Linked DNA regions of Neurospora crassa OR74A. Each later gene encodes a partner of the first gene's protein in a complex. Links are inferred from orthologs where the notes say so. Each region holds a gene or a part of one and is shown on either strand. Other genes may lie near its edges. The genes, in order: NCU01772 and NCU02605.

Evidence for each region.
Region 2: the proteins of NCU01772 (region 1) and NCU02605 are in contact, whole or in part, in a cryo-EM structure (PDB 7Z0H), measured with the Saccharomyces cerevisiae proteins. The link is inferred for Neurospora crassa OR74A from reciprocal best matches to the Saccharomyces cerevisiae genes RET1 and RPB10. Residues at the interface, in NP_014850.1 of Saccharomyces cerevisiae: Glu168, Met171, Ala172, Asn175, Glu176, Cys177, Pro178, Ala712, Ala714, Tyr715, Asn716, Gln717, Phe718, Lys719, Thr729, Tyr730, Pro731, Gln732, Gln733, Met735, Asp747, Lys748, Leu749, Pro750, Gln753, Asn754, Ala755, Thr756, Ser776, Ser777; in NP_014853.3 of Saccharomyces cerevisiae: Met1, Ile2, Pro4, Arg6, Cys7, Phe8, Ser9, Cys10, Gly11, Glu32, Gly33, Leu36, Lys42, Arg43, Tyr44, Cys45, Arg47, Arg48, Met49, Leu51, Thr52, His53, Val54, Leu56, Lys59, Phe60, Arg62, Tyr63, Asn64, Pro65.

What each region holds. Positions count from the first base shown.
Region 1 is NC_026502.1:2,490,303-2,494,224, forward strand, and holds the start of NCU01772 (DNA-directed RNA polymerase III polypeptide), read left to right. Parts: upstream 1-972; 5' UTR 973-1,158; coding exon 1,159-3,922. UniProt on the Saccharomyces cerevisiae protein: DNA-dependent RNA polymerase catalyzes the transcription of DNA into RNA using the four ribonucleoside triphosphates as substrates. Second largest core component of RNA polymerase III which synthesizes small RNAs, such as 5S rRNA and tRNAs.
Region 2 is NC_026501.1:2,876,412-2,879,441, reverse strand, and holds NCU02605 (DNA-directed RNA polymerase I/II/III subunit 10), read right to left. Parts: upstream 1,926-3,030; 5' UTR 1,829-1,925; coding exon 1,793-1,828; intron 1,722-1,792; coding exon 1,660-1,721; intron 1,597-1,659; coding exon 1,510-1,596; intron 1,457-1,509; coding exon 1,387-1,456; 3' UTR 578-1,386; downstream 1-577. Other genes in the region: NCU02604 (hypothetical protein), read left to right, coding at 2,203-2,564, 2,615-3,030. UniProt on the Saccharomyces cerevisiae protein: DNA-dependent RNA polymerases catalyze the transcription of DNA into RNA using the four ribonucleoside triphosphates as substrates.

The DNA.
Region 1 (3,922 bases):
TGTGAAATCTCCTCGCCTTTTTTTTTCAATTGCTCCTCTTTCGGATCTTGCCCCACTGCTGGGTTGGGTTCCAGGTCGATTCAAGCAAGGTAGCACCCTGCTGGAGCTGGCCTAGGAAAAGATGGGTACCTACCTACACTATGCTGTAAGACACGGCCAACGGTGATGCGACTCTTTGACGTTTGTATAGTCAGCCAGAAGCATAACCCTTCTCTGATTCTTGAAGCCTGAGCAGGTCACAGCACTTGGGAATAACATCAACCTCCGTTGTATGCGATTAGCAATTCAAAGGCTGCCATATCAACGAACAAAGACCGAAGAAGACCATCAACATGATAACAGGTAGGAGAGAAATAGTGAACGACCCGGCAGGTGATTTCATAACCAGAAGCTCTCCCCTGTTGACTGGTGTGTCGATCGAAGGCCCGGCTTCCGCTTGGCGCGGCTAGATTCAGCAGAACGGATACATAGCTATCTTGAGGTTACCTAGCTGGCCTGACCCCGCTACAAATTGTTCAAATCGCTGTGCTAGTTGAAGTTGGATAGGTAAATACAACCTACCACCAGGAGGCAGATGTGTCGGAGTTGCACAGAGGCGGGGGTTCCTTATCACGAACATCAAAGTGACGGTCCGGAGTCAAAGCAAAAGGAAAGGTTTCAAAGGTACCCGACAGGTGGAGGGCACGGCCAAAAGTGGAACAAGGAACCTACATAGGTATATGTAACTGTCAATCAGGGGTCCAAAACGTGGGCGCTAACAATTTTGGCCTCGGCATACCAGTTAGGTACCACTGCAGTCACTAGCAGTCACCGGTCACCGCACCACAACACTACCTCTAGTGTAGTGCACTACACACACTAACAGTCAAGCACAGACCACTCCCGCCCCGTCGTCCCCCACCGCCCCAGCCGCGGCTTACCTCTACTGACCTAACAAGAAATGGCAGCGGCCAGCCCGTAGAAAAAGTTTATCGCAACTAATCCTTATCAATTTGCCGCGGGGCCAAAAATCACATCGAAATCTACCTACACAACTGCAAGGCGTATCTTCTCAACCAAACACACATTCCCGGTCGTTCCGCGCCCATCATCGCCATCCTCCATTCCTCCGGCCCGATCGATACGACGAACCGTCACCCGCAGTTAGCACATGCAAGGATGGCGGCTCTCGACGATGGCTTTGAGGCCCTGCTGGAGCCGTTCTACAATGGCAAGAAGCTGACCGATCCCATCTCGACCACGCAGGACAAGTTCCATCTTGTCCCGGCCTTCCTCAAGGTCAAGGGCCTCGTCAAGCAACACATCGACTCGTACAACTACTTCGTCAACGAGGAAATCAAGGACATCGTTAGGGCCAACCGCGTCGTCCGCAGCGACCAGGACCCCAACTTTTGGCTCGAGTTCAGAGACATCCGCGTCGGCATGCCCACCCGCACCGAAGATGGCGAACAAGTCCAGTCTCGAAACCCCGTCACCCCCATGGAGTGCCGTCTCCGCGACCTCACCTATGCCGCCCCCGTCGAGGTCGACATCGCCTACACCCGCGACAAGAACGTTATCGTCCGCAAGAACATCCCGCTATGCCGCATTCCCGTCATGCTCAAGAGCGCAAAGTGCTACCTCAACGGCGCCACCAATGCCCAGATGGAGGTCTTCAACGAGTGCCCTCTCGATCCTGGTGGCTACTTCGTTATTGGCGGAACCGAAAAGGTCATCTTGATTCAGGAACAGCTTAGCAAGAACCGTATCATTGTCGAGGCCGACGAGAAGACCGGCGGAGTCATGGCCTCGGTTACCAGTTCCACACACGAGAGAAAGTCAAAGACTTACGTCGTACTCAAGAAGGACCGGATTGTCCTGCAGCACAACACCCTCTCCGAGCCCATTCCCATCGTCATCGTTCTCAAGGCCTTCGGTGGTCTTTCCGACAACGACATCATCGAGCTGGTTTGCGGTGGCGATGCGCGCTACCAGGACGATTTCCTCATCAACTTCGATGAAGCCGGAAGAGCTGGTGTCTACACACAACAACAAGCGTTGGAATACGTTGGTGCTAGAGTCAAGATGGGCGGTAACAGACCCAAATTCGGTGCCGCTCCTCGAAGAAACCATGCTGAAGAAGGTCTCGACGCACTTGCGAACTTAGTTATCGCGCACGTTACTGTTGAGGGTCTCGACTTCTATCCCAAGGCCGTCTACATTGCCATGATGGTTCGCCGCGTGCTGATGGCAGCTCAGAATCCCAAGCTCGTCGATGACAGAGATTTCGTCGGCAACAAGAGATTGGAATTGGCTGGACAGTTGATCTCCCTTCTATTTGAAGACTTGTTCAAAAAGTTCATTTCAGACGTCAAGTACAACATTGACAACTTTTTCAAGAAACCCAACCGTACCTCTACGTATGATCCCCATGGTGCGATCATGGCTAACGGCCATTATATCTCTCACGGTCTTAACCGCGCCATTCAGAGCGGCAACTGGACGGTCAAGCGTTTCAACATGAACAGAGCCGGTATCACCCACGTGCTCAGCCGACTCAGTTATATCGCTGCGCTGGGTATGATGACGCGTATCAGCTCACAGTTCGAAAAAACAAGAAAGGTTTCCGGTCCAAGAGCCCTACAGCCCTCACAGTGGGGTATGCTCTGCACCTCTGATACACCTGAAGGTGAAGCCTGTGGTCTGGTAAAGAATTTGGCACTCATGACACACATTACCACGAATGTGCCGGAGGAACCAGTTAAGAAGATGATTTTTGCTGCTGATGAGAGCGTGGGACCGATCCGAGAATACACCGGAACAGAGATGCACAGCAAAGGCTCGTATATCATCCATTTGAACGGTACACCATTTGCTGTGACCAGGGAGCCAAAGCGGTTTGCCGCCAGGTTCAGAACTTTGCGTCGCCGGGGCTGGGTCTCTCCTTTTGTGAGCATCCACATCAACGAGCACTTCTCGGCGGTTCATATCGCTACCGATGAAGGACGTATTTGCCGCCCGTACATCATCGTCAAGAACGGCAAATCCATGTTGAAGGCAGAGCACCTGAAGATGCTTCAACTCGGGCAAGCGACATTCGACACTTTCCTGACCAGCGGCGTGGTTGAGTATCTCGATGTCAACGAAGAGAACGATACCCTTGTGGCGCTTCAGGAGGATCAGATCACCAACAGCACTACGCACATGGAAATTGAGCCGTTCACGATTCTCGGAGCAGTCGCTGGTCTAATTCCCTTTCCCCATCACAACCAGTCTCCCCGTAATACTTACCAGTGCGCCATGGGTAAACAAGCCATTGGTGCTATTGCCTACAATCAGTTCAACAGAATCGATACCCTTCTTTATACCCTTGTTTATCCCCAACGACCAATGGTCATTACGAAGACGATTCAACTTATCCACTACGACAAGCTCCCGGCAGGACAGAACGCCACCGTCGTTGTCATGTCTTACTCTGGCTACGATATCGAAGATGCGCTTGTTCTGAACAAGGCTTCTCTAGATCGTGGATTCGGCCGCTGCCAAGTGTTCCGCAAGTATACCGCCGAATTGCAAGGCTATACGAATGGGCGCCGCGACAGGGTTGGCGGTATCATGAAGGACGAAGACGACAAGCCCATTGTTAAGCACGCCATCCTCGACGCCGATGGCCTGGCCCAGGTGGGCTCAAAGGTTGAATCCGGACAAACGATGATCAAGAAGGAGACCCCGTTGGACCAGATCTCTACTGGAATCGCTGGCGATCGTGGGTCAGACGATTACCGTGACGCATCAACCAACTACCGCATTTCCGACCCCGCCATCATCGACAAGGTCATGATTTCGGTCAACGAGCGCGAGAACAAGTTGATCAAGGTCCAAACCCGCCAGACCCGTAGGCCGGAACTTGGTGACAAATTCTCGTCCCGTCACGGTCAGAAGG
Region 2 (3,030 bases), on another chromosome or scaffold:
CGAGGAAGAAGCCACTACGCCAATTTAACTTGCCCAACGTTTGGGGGCGCCGGTTGATATTGAACACTTGCTGGGATGGATTCGAGACCCAACGACACTGATCCGGCGGTGATCAGCTAAAAGATATGGAAGACTGGATGGGGAGACGAACCAAAGGAGACTAGAGATATTGAAGCAAAGTGGCTACTACACAGATATGGTAAGATCACTTGAGTATGAACTTCATTCTTTCCTACACCGTCTTGGAAATGAGAACTTACGTGCCATCACTTGTACGGACATGAATGGTTGAGGGAACAGGTAAGTCGTAGACTGACCGGCGATGCAAGTCTACGGCTGGTGGGAGGGTAGGTCCATATCGGTAAAGACAACGTTCAAGTTTGTGACAATCCGAAAGCTCATTTTTCGGAAGTATATTTGCTACCGATGAGCAACGCAAAAGCATCTCTGACCGAGTGGCGTCCAAACCGGGCCTAGGAACAGGGCCAACGCTCACTTCGCTGCCACATACATACAGTTCGAGTCACTGGACACGGGCATGGGTGAACCAATTATCAGGAATTCGGATGTGGAAGCTACACAGATGAATAATTCTTCATAAAGAGAGAGTTGACCGGGCGCTGAATTTGAAATACTTTTGAAAGATATGACGTTCAGCATACTCATCTGAGCGAATAGCGTAGGCTACCCCAGTCTGTACCCATGTTATAAACTGAGACGTGTGATTTAGAAGGCCGTGCTACCTTTTGCGAATGTCTCTTGTTCACCAGCGCCATCATCCCTTGCACTGGCTTGATGCCCCCACAAATTGTAAGGACCATCCAATCCGAGCGTCGCTTCGTATTCGATCGGTCCAGCCCAGCCGAAGCGGTAGACTTTTCCACCATTCCCAAAAGACATCCGAACCCGAGGAGTTGGAAACCACGCAGGCGAGCATGACGGCTTGTAAGTCGCCAATGTAGATAACCAGATGTGGTTGGTTATGACACATCTAGCCACACGGAGCAAGTACCACGTTCCGGCTAAAGACAATGGCTCTCCGTGGTACCACAACCTCTCAACTGTAGTTGCAAACCGAAAAGGTAGCCTGTTGTGTCTGGCCATGTTGCTCCGGTAGACCTAACCGCCAACAGAACTTACACCAGAAACAGTTGTCCCAAATGCACCTTGACGCCACAGGTTCTAACCCAAAGAAAAGCACAACCAAATCAAGCTCTTGCTTTCGGCCTCCTGGATGCGAGACCAGGGCCGCTTCTATACCCTGCCCGGTACAGTTGTCTTAATACTCCCAAACGCCTAATGATCATGCAGTTTTCTCTTCCCGGACGATAGAGTGGTCGGCTTTCCCGAATAGTTGATGATGAATTCTTCGACCGCTCGGGCATATTACATCCCCTGTTCCTCATTGCGTGTCTGCATCTCGATCTTCTTGACGTTGCGACCATCGGGAGTATACCTAGAGCGTAGTCAGCCACCAAGGTCCAGCGCGGCGAGTCCACAAGAACGTACTTGAGAAGCTTCTCGATGAGGTCGACGTGGGTCATGACCATGCGACGGCAGCAGTAGCGCTTGAGGCCGAGCTGATCCAGAGCATCACTAATCATCGTCTGTCAGTTGTTGTTATTTGTAAATCGAAAGTCGTTTGTAGATGTCGCATACCCATCGGTGATCTCCTCGCCATCGATCAGCTGCAGGTATCTCTCCCAGAGATCACCCACCACCTATGTGCCAAAGTCAGTAACCTTGTTAACGGGTAAATGGCGGAGGAAGCGGGGCGCGTCGCGTCGCGTACCTTGCCGCACGAAAAGCATCGGATTGGAATGATCATTTTTGTTAGCGAGTCGAAAGCCTACAAAAAAGTGTTTGGCGGGATGGCGATGTTCGCGGCAGATGAGCGACCGGCTTCTGGCAAGATGGTGGTGCAAGATTGGTCGTAGTGACGGTGCAAGTTTCAGCATGAACTTTGAAGGGCGAGGCGGCAACTTTACCTGTGAGGTCGGAAGGCCCCAGCAAATTTGACTTTCTAGGGTCTGATTGGTCACTTCAGCCTTATCACCGATAAGAAAGCTGCCCCACATTAACTTTTCGAAGGGTACTCCGCCAAAATTTCTTCTGCTGGGAGGATGAGGCGGACATGAAGCTCGGTACGACAAATCGTGTGTTCCTTGCCAGACTTGCATCGTCATATACTCAAAGGACAAGATGGTGGAGCTACGCACTCCTCGCAAGACCTCGAAGGCGCCCAAGATGGATGCGAATGGTGAAACTGCCTCGCTCAAGAAGAGAAAGAGAGAGCCCAAGGAAGAGACGACCGCTTCGCAAAAAAGGCAACGATCGAAACCAAAGACCCAGCCTGCTGCCGCCAATGGCAATGTTGACGATACTACCGACTCCCAAGAAAGCACCCTTTTCGAGAACAAAGACTTGCAAACGACCAATGGCGATTTGGAACTTACGGATGCTTCGAATACCTTGACGACGCGCAACACATCGGCATGGAAGGTATCGAATCCTATGGGCGGCCGCATGCTCGACATCGATCCCATATTTTCCTTGGATGAACGGTTCGTTTGAGACCAGTCCCCCAGGCAGGGGCTCTACTAATGCGACTTAGATACCTCCTTATCACCTACAACACATCAATTCAAGTCTATTCCACCGAGGATTCCCTGCTCGTCAGGAGGATCTCCCTTCCCATCACCAAGCTCGACAGCGGCGCCGAACTTTCTTCTCCCCACATCGTTGCGTCTGCGCTATCCGCCAGCGCACCCGAATTCCTCTGGGTTGCATGCTCAGATGGCCGCATCTGGCACCTTAACTGGGCGACAGGTGAAGGCGCCGAAACACCCTTCACGATTGACGTCAAGAAAGTCCTCGACATGACCGTCGAATCGGTTGATATCCGCGACAAGCAAGAAGATGTCCTGTTTATTCTCCAGAAGTTGACCAAGTCCTCGGCGCAAATCGTGGCCTACGACCTCAAGGCCCTCCGTAAGAAGACCGGCAAGCTTATCCACACATACGACGAGA